Stegostoma tigrinum: one gene and its partner. The protein of the gene in region 2 interacts with the protein of the main gene of each other region in a pairwise test. Links are inferred from orthologs where the notes say so. Each region holds a gene or a part of one and is shown on either strand. Other genes may lie near its edges.

What was found.
Region 1: the proteins of xpo7 (region 2) and uso1 interact in binary tests that used the Homo sapiens proteins (3 or more experiments, as listed by UniProt). The two-hybrid records come from large-scale screens. The link is inferred for Stegostoma tigrinum from reciprocal best matches to the Homo sapiens genes XPO7 and USO1.

The regions. Positions count from the first base shown.
Region 1 is NC_081354.1:2,791,368-2,798,919, forward strand, and holds the start of uso1 (general vesicular transport factor p115), read right to left. Parts: upstream 3,033-7,552; 5' UTR 2,966-3,032; coding exon 2,900-2,965; intron 1-2,899. UniProt on the Homo sapiens protein: General vesicular transport factor required for intercisternal transport in the Golgi stack; it is required for transcytotic fusion and/or subsequent binding of the vesicles to the target membrane.
Region 2 is NC_081393.1:2,313,085-2,320,364, forward strand, and holds the start of xpo7 (exportin-7), read right to left. Parts: upstream 3,070-7,280; 5' UTR 2,981-3,069; coding exon 2,963-2,980; intron 1-2,962.

The DNA of each region.
Region 1 (7,552 bases), on a different chromosome or scaffold from region 2:
TCAAAAGTCTTATTTCTGGAAGATCAATGAGGAACTGTTTCAGCTTTAAAAGTCTGAGAATTCTTACTGTTTGCCCATGGATTTATTCAAAACTTTGTTCAGCAGTGTCTTCAAGGTCACATTTCATGAATATTTAAGTGGAAACCAGCTGAATTTTGATATAGTTTTGTCTGCCTGTGCCTCTGTTCCTGTTTTCATCATATAGATATCAACGTATTAAATCCTATATTTACTTCACTGTTTCCTGGATCTTGAAGACTGAAACATGGTTAAAAGATACACAACAGCAGGGAGAGATGGGTATTATTCTGGATGTCCTGGTCATCAATGCTGTTACATCTGATAGAATGGGAGCAGGAGTGCTAGAACCTGCGTGACTTGCAGTAAGGTGTGAAGAATACAAGGAGTGAGGAGAGATATATTCAGGAGACTATGCCAGTTGAACCATCAAAAGGCATTTATTCAGGTTTGAAAGCTGTACACAAAGGGACTCACTGGCTAAGAATATGCGTTGACAGAATTCAGAACCGAAAAAAGTGCATTTCGGCAAGAGATTTTGAGAGGAAGCCAACTCTAAGCATTTAGAAAGAAATTGACTCATTAGCAATAGCCAGCATAGTTGTCTGCAGGGGAGGTCTTTTTCTTGGAGGTGGTGATGAAAATGATCGATGAAGGAAAAGCAGTTGATGCTGTCTACGTGGACTTCAATCAAGCCTTTGACAAGGTCTCTCTTGTTAGACTGGTATAAAAGGTGAAGTATGGTATCAGGGTGAGCTGGGAAGATGGGTACAGAACTGCCTTAGTCACAGGAGACAGTAGTGGTGGAAGGATGCATTTTAGAATGGAAGGTTGTGGCTAATGGTGTTCCACAGGGATCAATGCTGGGGCCTCCGCTGTTCATGGTCTATATAAATGATATGGAGGAAAATGCAGCTAGTCTAACTAGTATTTTTGCAGACAGTACGAAGATTGCTGGGGTAGCAGATAGTGAGGAAGATAGTCAGAGGATACAGCAGGACATAGATCAGTTGGGCAGAAAAGTGGCAGATGGAGTTTAATCCTGAAAAAAATGAGGTGATGCATTTTGGAAGGTGAAGTACAGGTGAAAATTTTATAGTGAGAGGCAGAACCCTTAGAGGTATTGATATGCAGAAGGATCAGGGTATGCAGAGTTTTCTCCCACAGCCCAAGGACGTGCAGGCTAAGTGGATTGGCTGTGCTAAATTACTGTGTTCGGGCATACGTGCATGAGGTGGGTTACAAGGGGATGCGTCTGGGTGGGATGCTCTGAGGGTCAGTGGGGACTTATTGGGCCAAAGGGCCCATTTCCACACGGGATGGATTCTACTATATATCATCACCGAAGGTAGCAGCACAGAAAGATAAGGTAATAAGAGAAGGCCTATGGTATGCTTGCCTTCATTGAAAGGGGCAATGGGTATAAGGATAGGCAAGAGCTGTTGCAGCTTCATAGAACTTTAAGTCAGGCAACATTTGGAATATTGCGTACAGTTTTAGTCACGACACTACCAAAATGAAGTGCATACTTTGGAGAGGGTACAGTCAAGGTCTACCAGGATGATGCCTGGGTTGGGGGCGATTTCAGCTACGAAGAAAGTCTGGACAAATTGGGTTTGTTTTCACGAGAACGCAAGAGGTTGAGGGACTGCTTGATTGAAGTTTAAAAGATCGTGAGTGGCATGGGTAGAGTTCAAAGTATGAGACTGGGCCCCCAGACAGGAATGGTCAATTACAAAGGGAAGTGCAGTGCGCGCTCCCTCAGCGCCGACCCCCCGACAGCGCCGCGCTCCCTCAGCGCCGACCCCCCGACAGCGCCGACCCCCCGACAGCGCCGCGCTCCCTCAGCGCCGACCCCCCGACAGCGCCGCGCTCCCTCAGCGCCGACCCCCCGACAGCGCCGCGCTCCCTCAGCGCCGACCCCCCGACAGCGCCGCGCTCCCTCAGCGCCGACCCCCCGACAGCGCCGCGCTCCCTCAGCGCCGACCCCCCGACAGCGCCGCGCTCCCTCAGCGCCGACCCCCCGACAGCGCCGCGCTCCCTCAGCGCCGACCCTCCGACAGCGCGGCGCTCCCTCAGCGCCGACCCTCCGACAGTGCCCGCTCCAACAGCGCTGACCCTCCGACAGTGCCCGCTCCAACAGCGCTGACCCTCCGACAGTGCCCGCTCCCTCAGCGCTGACCCTCCGACAGTGCCCGCTCCCTCAGCGCCGACCCTCCGACAGCGCCGCGCTCCCTCAGCGCCGACCCTCCGACAGCGCGGCGCTCCCTCAGCGCAGACCCTCCGACAGTGCCCGCTCCCTCAGCGCTGACCCTCCGACAGTGCCCGCTCCAACAGCGCTGACCCTCCGACAGTGCCCGCTCCAACAGCGCTGACCCTCCGACAGTGCCCGCTCCAACAGCGCTGACCCTCCGACAGTGCCCGCTCCAACAGCGCTGACCCTCCGACAGTGCCCGCTCCCTCAGCACTGACCCTCCGACAGTGCCCGCTCCCTCAGCACTGACCCTGTGACAGTGCCCACTCCCTCAGCACTGACCCTGTGACAGTGCCCACTCCCTCAGCACTGACCCTGTGACAGTGCCCACTCCCTCAGCACTGACCCTCCGACAGTGCCCGCCCCCTCAGCACTGACCCTCCGACAGTGCGGCGCTCCCTCAGTGTAGCAGCATGCCTATTATTTGTTTCTGTCCGGAGAACATATCTACCCCGTAGCCCTGTCTTTCCAGGAGAGTTATTCCACGTCAACACACTCTCAGCCGCTCTGACTAATCGAGGCCGAGGCCAGAGGCCTATCCCTCGGTTTTTCGGGCCTGGACGACAAAGCGAAGTGCCGGGCCGCTGTCAGCCGTTTATGAAGCAGTGTTAGGAGGCAGGTACTCACGGTCTCGGCCCCGCTGGGCTGCGGCCCCGCGCTCTGGCCACCCATTACCCCGCGGAGGAAGTTCATGTTGGCCCAACGGTCCCCACCCGAGACAGCGCCGGCCGCCGACACCCGCGCCTGCGCGCCGCCAACACCCAACGGCCGGCCGCCAGGATCTACGCATGCGCACTGCCGCAAACACGGCGTCTTCAGCGGGCATCGCTTAGTACGCCTGCGTGGAAACGTGGCAGCCCCACGTCGCCACAATACAAACACGTCATCACCTTAAAGGGACAGTGCAGCCGTTACTTGCAGCATTTAAAGGGACAGTGCAGCTGCAACATGCAGCGTTTAAAGGGACAGTGCAGCAGGTACCTGCAGCATTTAAAGGGACAGTGCAGCAGGTTACTGCAGCATTTAAAGGGACAGTACAGCGGGTACCTGCAGCATTTAAAGGGCCAGGGCAGCAGTTACTTGCAGCGTTGAAGGCACAGTGTGATTATTGTATTGCTTCATTTAAAGAAACAGCGTGACAGCCAAGTTGCTTTATTTTAATAGAGAATGTGATTGCTGCATTGCTTCTTTTAAACGAACAGTTATGTGCTGCATTGCTCCACCTAGTGGGCAGTGAGTAATGCACCGCTTCATTTAAAGGGACAGGGCTGTGCTACTTTCATGAGGAAGGAAACAATTGTGGTATTCACTTGATAAAAAAAGAGTTGGTACGAATGCTGAATTTATTATATTAAAATACAGTGCTGCTTCTTTTAAATGTACAATAGTCGTGCTTCATTTATTCACTCAAATTGACAATTCGATTGCAGTGAAATTACACATTAGAAATGGGCCAAATTAGTTTTTTTTAAGTGACTAACATGATGTGTGTCTCTGACTCGGTCAGCATTTATTGCCCATCCCTATATGGTTGAGGGCGTTTGAGTAAATTACTGTGGGTCTGGAGTCATATATAATCCAGTGTGGAGCTGGATGAACACAGCAGGCCAAGCAGCATCTTAGGAGCACAAAAGATGACATTTCGGGCCTCAACCCTTTTCTGATGAAGGGTCCAGGCCCGAAACGTCAGCTTTTGTGCTCCTGAGATGCTGCTGGGCCTGCTGTGTTCATCCAGCCTCACATTTTATTATCTTGGATTCTCCAGCATCTGCAGTTCCCACTATCTCTCATATGTAATCCAGACCAGATAAGGATTGCGGTTTCCTTCCCTACAGGAAATATGTGAATCAGACGGGTTTTTCCAACAATCAACAATGGATTGATGGTCATCATTAGACTCTTAATTCCAGATTTTTATTGAATTGAAAATGCATCACCTGCCGTGGCGGAATTTGAACCTATGTCCCAGATCATGGCCAAGTTTCTGGATTAATAATCTAGCAATAATACCATTTGGTCATTGCCTCCCACTTTGTGCAATAATAATTATGATTCTGTGTAATCCTGATCATGTTATATGGAAATACAGAAAGTTAAAATTTGTGTGACTCTCTCAAAAATTCTGCTCCATTTGGTTTCAGGTGTTTAGCTTCGGGTGAGCTTTCCTTTTCCCCTGCACCTCACAAAGATTTTCTTTTATACCTTAATCGTATCCAATGCATGACAACTACAAGAAAAACATATTATCTTTTAGATTGAATAGGATGACTTCTGGTTGCAGAAATTATGCGAAACCACTTCTGTAAGTAGGGTCTAGGCCCGAAACGTCAGCTTTCCTGCTCTGATGCTGTGTTCATCCAGCTTCTACACCTTGTTATCTCAGATTCTCCAGCATCTGCAGTTCCTACTATCTCTGCAAATAAATATTTCTTTTTCAGATACCTGTAGCTGGATGCTTTGAAAACCTATCATAATTATCTCTAAAGTTAATAGTAACATGCAGCAGAACACAAGCAGATATCTAACAAAGTATTAATTAATCAACTCTTCAGCCACAGATTCAGCCCCTGCACATCCCCAACCATCCAACCTAACTTTTAAGAATTTAACACAGAGGAACATAAATAGGTCTTTCAGCCCCTTGAATCTGTTCTACCGTTAAGTGAGATCGTGGCTGGTCCGATAATGCTCAACTTCACTTTCCTGCCTTTCCCTCATATCCTTGTACACAATTTCTATCCAAATAACCACCCAATGCTCCCATGAATACCTCAGTTGAACCTCCCTCATCGCATTTCCAGGCAGTGCATTCCATACCCTGCATTAAAAGTTATTTTTTCCCCTCAAGTCACCCTTGCTTCATTTGCACATCACACTAAATCTATCTCTTCTTATTCATTTTCCTTTCATAATTGGGAACAGCTTCTCCTAATCTATTGTATCCTGCCCACTCATGTTTTTGGAAACCTCTATCAGTTCTCCTCTTGCCTCCCTCTCTCCAGGGAGAACAGTCTCAACTTCTCCAATCTATCCACGTAACTGAAGTTTCTCATTTCCGAATATTAACTCAGTTTCTCTTTGCGTGCAGCCAGAGTTGCTGAGAATTTCCAGCATTTTCTGTTTTTCATTCAGGGTTCTGGTGTCTGCAGTGTTTTGTTTTTGTAACTGCTCAAGGGCCTTGGACAGAAAAGAGCGGCTATGATCATGAACAAGGGCAGAGAGGTTGAGGATCAGCATTGAGTCATCACAGCCTCTCTTCAGTCATGGATTCATCCTGACTTTTTGAGGGCGATGCACACTCTGCGAACTTGACAGAGATGCAAAGAGGTCATTTCCTTTCATGGGAGAGTCTACAACCAGACGGTGTTTAATCTCAGAATTTAAGATGGACAAAAATGGAGTAGGCCATTCAGCCTCTTGAACCTGTTCTGATATTTGGATTTTTGAGTTTGAGTTTGATTCATTGTCGTCACATTTACGAAGATACAGTGAAAATTGTTGTTTCACGTGCGCTACAGGCAAATTGTACCATACAAATTACATCAGGGTAGCAGAACGAAGTGCAGAATATAGTGTTACAGTCACAGAGAAGGTGCAGAGCGAGAGAGATCGGAATGAATATTTGAGAGGTTCATTCAAAAGTCTGATAACAGCAGAGAAGAAGATGTTCATGAATCTGTTGGTACGTGTTTTCAAATTTTTATATTTTCTGTCTGATGGAAGAGAGAGGAAGAGAGTATAGCTGGGGTAGGAGGGGTTTTAGATGATGTTGGTTGCTTTCCCAAGGCAGTGGGAAGTGTAGATGGAGTCAGTGGGTTGGGAGTTGGTTTGAGTAATGGACTGGGCTGTGTTCACATCTTTCTGTAGTTTCTTGTGGTCTAAGGAAGAGCAGCTGCTGCACCAAACAGTGATGCATCTGGATAGGATGACTTCTTTGTTGCATCTATAAAAATTGGTAAGAGTCGGTGTGGACATGCCGAATTTCCTTAGCCTCCTAAGAATGTAGAGGTATTGTTGTGCTTTTTTGACTTTCTCATGTCAACGTGGATAGAACAGGACAGATGGTCGGTGATCGTCACTCCCAGGATCTTGATGCTCTCGACCCTCTCCACCTCAGCCCCATTGATACAGACTGGGGCGTGCCCTCCCACTCCAGGTCCTGAAGTCTATGGCCGGCTCCTTCATTTTACCGACATTGATGGAGAGCTTGTTGACTTTACACCATGTCCCTAAGCACACAATCTCTTTGCTGTACTTCGTCTCGTCATTGTCTGAGATCCAATCTACAACGGTGATGTCATTAACAAACTTGTAAATGGAGTTGGGGTGGAATGCGGCCACATAGTCGTGAGTCTATAAGGAGTATAGTAGGGGGCTGACTATGCAGCATTGGGGGGCACCAGTGTTGAGGATTATGGTGGAGGAAATGTTGGCTATTCTTACTGATTGCAGTCTGTAGGGCAGGGGGTCAATAATCCATTACAGAAGTTGGGGGGGGGTGGGGAGGGTAGTCAGGACCTTGGCCTCAGAACTTAGAGATAGTTTGTTTGGAATTATGGTGTTGAAGGCGGAGCTTTAGTCAATAATTAGGAGCCTGGCATACGTATCCTAGTTATCTACATGTTCCAGGGGTGAGTGCAGGGCCAGGAAAACGATGTCTACCGTGGACCTGTTGTGCCGGTAGGCAAATTGCAAAGGATCTAGGCAGTTTGGGAGACTGGAGTTGATGTGGGCCATGACTAGCTTCTCAAAGCACTTCCTAATTATCACAGTCAGAGTGACTGGTAGTTACTGAGGCACATGACATTGTTTTTCTTTGGCACCGGGATGACGGTGGTCCTTGTGAAGCAGGTGGGAACCTCAGATCACAGTAAGGGGAGGTTAAGAATGTCTGTGATTACTCCCAGGAGCTGGTCCACACCGGATCTGAGTGCCTGGAAAGAACTCCAACTGGGCCCGTCCCTTTCCGAGGGTTCACTCTCAAGAAGGCCAGTCTAACGTCTGCAGCGTTGACTGTGGGTACAGGTGCACCTAAGGCTGTTGGTATGGGTGACATGGTTTCACTGACCTTCTGTTTAAATTGATCGTGGAATGTGTTGAGCTTGTCAAATGGGGATGTTCTGTTGTTTGCCATTCTGTTCATGAGCCATATAATGAGACCATGGCTGATGTGTGGCTGAACTCCATATATCTACCTTTGGACCATATCCTGAAATACCTATGTTTGACAAAGATGTATCTAGCTCAGATTTAAAAGTAATGATTAATCCTGCGTCCATT
Region 2 (7,280 bases):
CAACTCTTCTTCAGACCAATAAACTTGATCGTGCGACTATTTACTTCACTGCTGTTCCTGGGAGCGTGTCATATACCTGTTGATTGTCCCATTGCCCTTCATCGCAATGGAAAGACAACAGCAATAATTCATTGGATGTGGGAGTAAAGAAACAATGGCCTGTCTCCTAATGCTCTCGCCTCTGAACTCTGCAATTCAAATTCCACACAGTCTGTTGTTTCTCCTGTGGTTATATTTTGTTACTTAGCACATGGCTGTCACAGGACTCAGGGACATCCTGAAATATGAAAATACAATTTCTTCCGAGCTACTGTAGCACTGTAGGGCTTGCAAATGTCCAATGATCCACAAGAATCAAGACTCCTGGAGGCCCAGCTGTTACAACTGTGTACTTGGTTGTACCGTCAACTTCCAGGAGGACTGGAGGGTTTAAACTAACGAGATAACACAGTATCTTGCAAACTGCATTGCTGTCTTTAATAGTCAAGAGCACTTCCTTCAATCACACATCGAACATCCAAAACAGGCGTCAATTTTCACATCAATCAAACACTGGGGGGTCCAGCTCCTCACTTTCCTAAGTGAATGTTCATGTACTGTCAATCCTCAAGATTAAGAATGTGAAGTAATCTATTTATGTAACTGCTGGAGAAACTTGAACTCACAAAGAAAGCAGTGCAATGTCCACAAACCTGAACTCAATGAGCACCTTGGCTCCCGGACAATTTCTCACACCTTGGGCAGCAAATGCTGCATTGCAATCACTCTGCATATCATAAATTTATTTCTCGTGCTACATCATTCCTTAAGTGATTCAGTTGTTAAGGTTCATCAATGGAAAAATTATAAGTTACAGAAGAAAAGCTTGGAAGATTGTGGTGGTGCTGGGTCAAAAATACAATCACTACCAACAATACTGAACTCACCACTAACAAGCAGCTCTCAACCCAGCAACACGAGTAACAGCTCTAAGACCAAGACATCAATGGTACCCCCTTTGGAATTGGATATCCAAAGCCAATTCATTCACTGTTGCCGGAAAGTGACTCTGGAGCTCCAAGTGCACCATCACCATAATGGTTCAAATGGGTCAAGTAGTAGTTCCAGCATGGACAATGGAAATCAGGCATGTCACAAACACATCTACCATGAAAAAAGACTTTTTGTAAAAAAAAGACAAGTTTCAGCAAATCTCTTTGGTTTGAGATGATAATGCAAAATCAAAGTGTGCATACCATCGCATATAATGCAACACAATTGAAGAAACAAGCCAAACTACACTTCACTGCTCAAATTTTTCCAAGAGACTTCCACACAAGCGAAAGGATTAAATTGTGCAGCTGAATCAATGCAAATGTATTACTATTTTAGTAACTTTAGAAGGAGCAAATACAGGTTAAAGTGAAAAGGATGATTGGTTCAACTTACATTAACCAAGTGTACAAAATAAATTGAATAGGGAAAGTTTACAGCAAAACTACTGACGAGTTTTCATACTCAAAAGGAACATCTTATTTGTTATCATCTGTTAGAGGATCATTACAGATAAATAAGCCTATTCACCAATAGTCACCAAATCAAAATAAAGACTAAAGAAGGTGGAGACTGCCAGGATCTTCCAAGTGAGAGTAAACAGATATAAACATGAATGCTTCAGCTTTTTTGGTACAAGTGTTCAACGTAGAGCTTAAGGAACTTTAAGAGGTAAAAATGGCATAACAAAAGATCAAATTATCAGTGAAGAGTGATTGGCAACGACAGGAAACATAAGATCAAGAATTATCGTGTAAATAATTGAAGTGGATTTTTTTTTAAACACAAGACCAAACCTGACAAGGGGAGATATTGTAGCTGCAAATGAGGAATGACTTGATATGATAATGATTTTCTGTCAAGGCATTTCCATCAAGTTTCACGGCAGTGAGTAAAATAAGTAACAGACAGGGAAAAAGGTGGAAGTGAAGGAGAACCACAACATGGAGCAGAGCTGGGAAAAGAAAGAAAAAGGAAAGACAGAGCAAGAACGCCTGGTTGGAAGCAAAGGAGGTTTCTCATACAAGATCAAGGTGAAAAATTCATAAATATCCTTGAAGTATTAATGAAACATGATATTTATTTATGGCTTAGACTTTTCCTTCACAGGGATCTAAGACAATTCAGAACCATCCAATAACATATCAACAGTGTGTATGCAGAAGAGAAAGAACTTGTCTCCAAATGAAGGCAACAATAATGTAAAATTGAGCTCAGGTCCCAATGCAACACTGCTGGCTCAGCACGATGCAAGAAAAGCTCCCAAGTCTGCACTGTTTATGCAACAACGCGATGAAGTTAGCATGCTACGACCCCGAAAAGAATAGTCATGTTGCATTTCAAAATCCATTTCGCGTTCAACCTCGTGCAATGAGCCTTTCTGGTTGAATGCAAAATGGTGAGTGTGGGGGGAGAAAGAAGACACAGGGTATGCAAAAAAAAACAGCAGAGACCTGGCAATGCAACAACAGCATGGAAACCATGAGATTTTATGATGAAATACGATGGATGCAAACTGTTAGAAAGCTCGGGTTTCTCTCTTGCTGCAGTTAAAGAATGGAGGCTGGAGGTGAAGCAGCTTGAGCAGCTCCAAGGCCCAGCGCCTGCAGCAGCTTGTTGTTTATTGACATCAGTAATGCCGAGGTTTGAAGAAGCCATCCCTGGCCCAGCAGTGCCCGGTTACCCCTAGCAACCCCCTCCCCGGGCCCGCTGCTCAAAACAAACCTCCAGCCGCCTCCCTCGGCGGCTCCAAGCGCGGATTCCTCCTCCTCCTACTTTCTCCCGCCTCCCATCCCCAACCCGTGCAGACGGGCCCGCCTGCCGCAGAGCTCATCCCCCCGCTCTCCTCCCCCAGGACCGTCCTATCCTCCCATCGTGAGCCCGGAGCTCTCGCCGCCGCACACACGGCTGACGGCTCCATCCCTGTTACCTGCACATGATCCGCCATTTTCCTCCATTCATGCTCGGCCGCGGCGACGCGCCTGCGCACTAACTCTCTGCCGCTCGCCGAGCGCCCGGCCCGGCTCCGCTACCCGTGCGCCTGCGCCAGGCGCCGGCGGCCGGCTCCCCGCGGCGCGCCTGCGTGACAGCTCTCCCTCTCTTTTTCCCCTCAAACTTCCCCAGGCACTGACCATGTGGGGCTCTACCCCGCCCTGCTGCAAAGCTGTGAGGCACCAATGACTCCACTCAGTTCAGGGTGCATTTACTGAACAGACAATGTGTGCATCTGGTTGGCATTTTACGTGTAAACGGGGAAAAAAAAATCCAACATCAAAGCCGAAACTGCTGGAGAAACTCAGCAGGTCTGGCAGCATCTGCGGAGAGAAACAGAAATGTTTCAGATGCATGGCCCCTTCTTCGGAACAGGTTGCAGCGAGGTTCGGGTTGGGATATACACCGGAGGGTGGAGGGCGGGAATGGGAGCAAGAAATCATAGGAGGACCGGGAGCCAGGAGAGAGCAACAGTTGGATGCACAAAGGAATAGGTAAAATATCAGGCTGGGAGCATGAGCAGTTTGCAACATACCGACGTTGTGTGAACAGAACAGACTATGAGCTTCCTGTTGTAAGAGATAACACAGTTTGGAGCTGTGAGCTGTGCAGAGTGAGAAATCTGAAGAAGGGTCCTGACCCACAACAACAGCCTTCCTGCTCCTCTGATGCTGCTTGGCCTGCTGTGTTCATCCAGCTCTACACTGTATCATAGAATCCCAACATCATGGAAACAGGCCATTCAACCCAACAAGTCCACCCCAACACTCTGAACAGCATCCCACCCAGACACACACCCCCTACCCTATTCCTGTAGCCCTGTATTTCCACATGGCTAATCCAACTAGTCTACACATCCCTAGCCACTATGGGCAATTTAACATGGCCAGTCCACCTAACCTGCACATCTTTGGACTGTTGGAGGAATCCGGAGCAAGCTCATGCATACACAGGGAGAATGTGCAAACTCCACACAGACAGTCGCTCGTGGGTGGAATCGAACCCAGGTGCCTAGCACTGTGAGGGAGCAGTGCTAACCATGAGCACCAACTGTGCTAACTCTGTTATCTCTGACTTCAGCATCAGCAGTTATTATTATCTCTGAATGAGCTTCCTGCTGCCTGCCATTTCAACACAGCACTGTGTTCCTTGGCCAACATCTCTGACCTCAGGCTTGCAACACTGCTCCACCGAAGCTCAGCACAAGCTACAAGAACAGCACCTCATCTTCTGCTTGGGGATGCTGCAGCCTTCTGGACTCAATATCTTATGGAGTATGTTACATTTGATATGCACAGAACGAGTTGCCAGATGAAGTGGTAGATGCAAGTACAGTAACAACATTGAAAAGACATCTGTACAGCTACATGAATTAGAAAGGTTTCGAGCGATATGGGGCCAAATGCAGCCAAATAGGATTAGTTTAGTTTGGAAAACCTGGTCAACATGGACAAGTTGGACCAAAGAATCTGTTTCCACACTGTGTGATTCAATTACAAATGCAGAAGTGGGCGCATTTAATTTGCACGGAGCACGTAAGGTGCTTTTTAAAAGGAAATCTCAAGACATGAGGATGTAGCTGTTGCCCATCTTTGACAGCAATGATGAGCTGCCTTGAGTTGCCGTAGTCCCTGAGGTGCACCTACAGTGCTGTGACAAAGTGAATTCCAGGATATTGAGCCAATGACATTGAAGAAACAGTGACATAGTTCCAAGTCAGGATGGTGTGGGGCTTTGTTGGGCAATGGTGCTCCCATGTAGCTATTGTCTTTATCCTTCCAGAGGGGACACAGACAACAGTTCGGAAGGTGCTGGTAGCATTGGGGTGGAGAACAGGCATTTGTGTTCCCTAAACTTGCTGCTGTTTCTGGCCCAAGCAGTGACAAGGCTGAAATCTGAGTAAGTTGCTCCAGTGCAGACTGCAATCATATTGCATCAATGATGGAAGGAGCTGAAGCTTCAGCACATAGGAACAGGAAAGGCCATTCATCCCCTTGAGCCTGCTCTGCCATTCATTGGGATCTTGGTGGATCCGTAGTTGAACACCATGTTTGCCTTTGGCCCAGTTCCTTAAATGCCTTTGTGGAACAAAATAAATCTACCTTGGGTTTAGTATGAACTGACCCAGCATCAACTGCCATTTGGGGAAGAGAATTCCAAACCTCGACCAGCCTTTGTGCTTCCTCACATCTCTCCCGAATAGTCTGACCCCAATTTTTAAACTATGCCCCTAGTTCGAGAATCCCCAACCATCGGAAAAGTTTATCTTCATTTGCCCTGTCTTTTTCTAATAATCTGAAGACTTTGATCAGATCATCCCTGAACCTTCCACATTCTAGAGAAAATGGGCCTCATTTCTACAATCTGTCCTCATCAGTCACACGTACACCATCTGAGAAGTATAGCTCACCCCCAAAGTGCAGGTATCATTGTTGTAAATCTATGTTATGCTCCCTCCAAGACCAATGCATCTTTGCTAAGTTGTGATGCCCAGATCTGCTCACAGTACACCAAGTGGGTCTAACCAGGATTTTCTGTGGCGGCAGCAGAATGTCTGCACTCTTGTACTCCAGCTCTCTGGGTATGAAGGCCAGCATTCCATGAACTCTCCTGGGAGTGGCATAGTGGCTCTGTGGTTCGCATGGGACTTAGATTCATGTCCAGCCTTGGGTGAGTCTGTGTGGAGTTTGCACATTTTCTGTGAGTCTGTGTGGGGTTCACCAGTTTCCTCACACTGTCTAAAGCTGCACGGGTTAGGTAGATTTGCCATGGTAAATTTCAGGAGAGAGTTGTGGGGGCTGGAACTTAAAGATCTTTGCACCTCCACCCCCAAGTCTCTTTATTGAACTTCATACCATCTAGAAAGAACCCTGATCTGTCCTACTGTTTTCATCTAAAATGGATTACCTTACACTTATTTGCATTGAGTTCCACTTGTCACAGTTTTGCCTATTCACCAGTCGAACAACATCCCTTTGTAATTTCATGCAATCATCTACACTGTCGAGAGTTCTGCCTAACTTTCAGTCATCAGCAAATTTGATGAAATGACTTTCTATTCTCTTAACAAGTCATGAATAAATACAAGCGGTGCCCAGGCTGTAAATGAGTTTGTTTGCAAGTCCATTTGTAATAAAGTCAGACACAATGCAGGTCAATATAAAGTAGCCAGTAAATGCAGGAAATGCTCATATCTTGGATCTTTAAAATTAAATCCCTGTATAGGATCACTTATGTAAGCATCAGCTTTTGTCAGTGAGATGTTCGCAATCAGGGATCCCCTGTAATGTGAATAACTGAGGCCCTCAGACATCTCTCACTGGGACACCATTGGTTATGTTTGAACTCCCCATCACCCCTGCCAATTTCCCAGCTATTTCAGCAATCTGTCTCAATTTCATTGGCTTCTACCTTAGTTAACAGTCTCTTAGATGAGATTTTGTGTCAAATGCTTTCTGGAAGTCAAAGAATCATTCAAGACAGAAACAGACTCTTTAGCCCAGCTTGCCCATGCTGACCAGGTTTCCCAAATTAAACTAGTCCCACTTTTCTGAAGAAGGGGCGAGGCCTGAAACGTCAGCCTTCCTGCTCCTCTGGTGCTGCTTGGCCTGCTGTGTTCATCCAGCTGTACACCTGTTATCCCTAGTCCCTCATGCTTGTTTTTACAGAGCATTTACAAAGCACCTGCGCTCTGCACGCTATAATCAACACCTTCAGGTCGCCAACCATTTTAACACCCCTCCCACTCCCTGGATGACATGTCCATCCTGGGCATCCTCCGGTGCCACAACGATGCCACTCGGAAACTGGAGGAACAGCACCTCATATTCCATCTTGGGAGCCTACAACCCAATGGTCTCAATGTGGACTTTACCAGTTTCAAGATCTCTCCACCCCCAGCCTCATCCCATGTCCAACCCTCACTCTCATCCCCGCCTCCTTGACCTGACACAACCTGTCCATCTTCTTTCCCACGTCCCACTAACCAATCCCCACCATCCTCTACCTGCATCCACCTATTGCCATCCCACCCACCTTCCCCCAGCCCCACCCCTCCTCCCTCAATTTATTTCCCAGCTCCCTTACCCCTTTCCCAGCTATGAAGAAGGGTCCCAACCCAAAACATTGACTTTCCTGCTCCTCAGATGCTGCGTTCCTCCAGCTCCGCAATGTGTTGGCTCCCTCGAAGCCTTTCCTGTTCATGTACCTCCCCAAATGTCTTTTAAATGTTGGAACTGTAACTGTATCTGCCACAT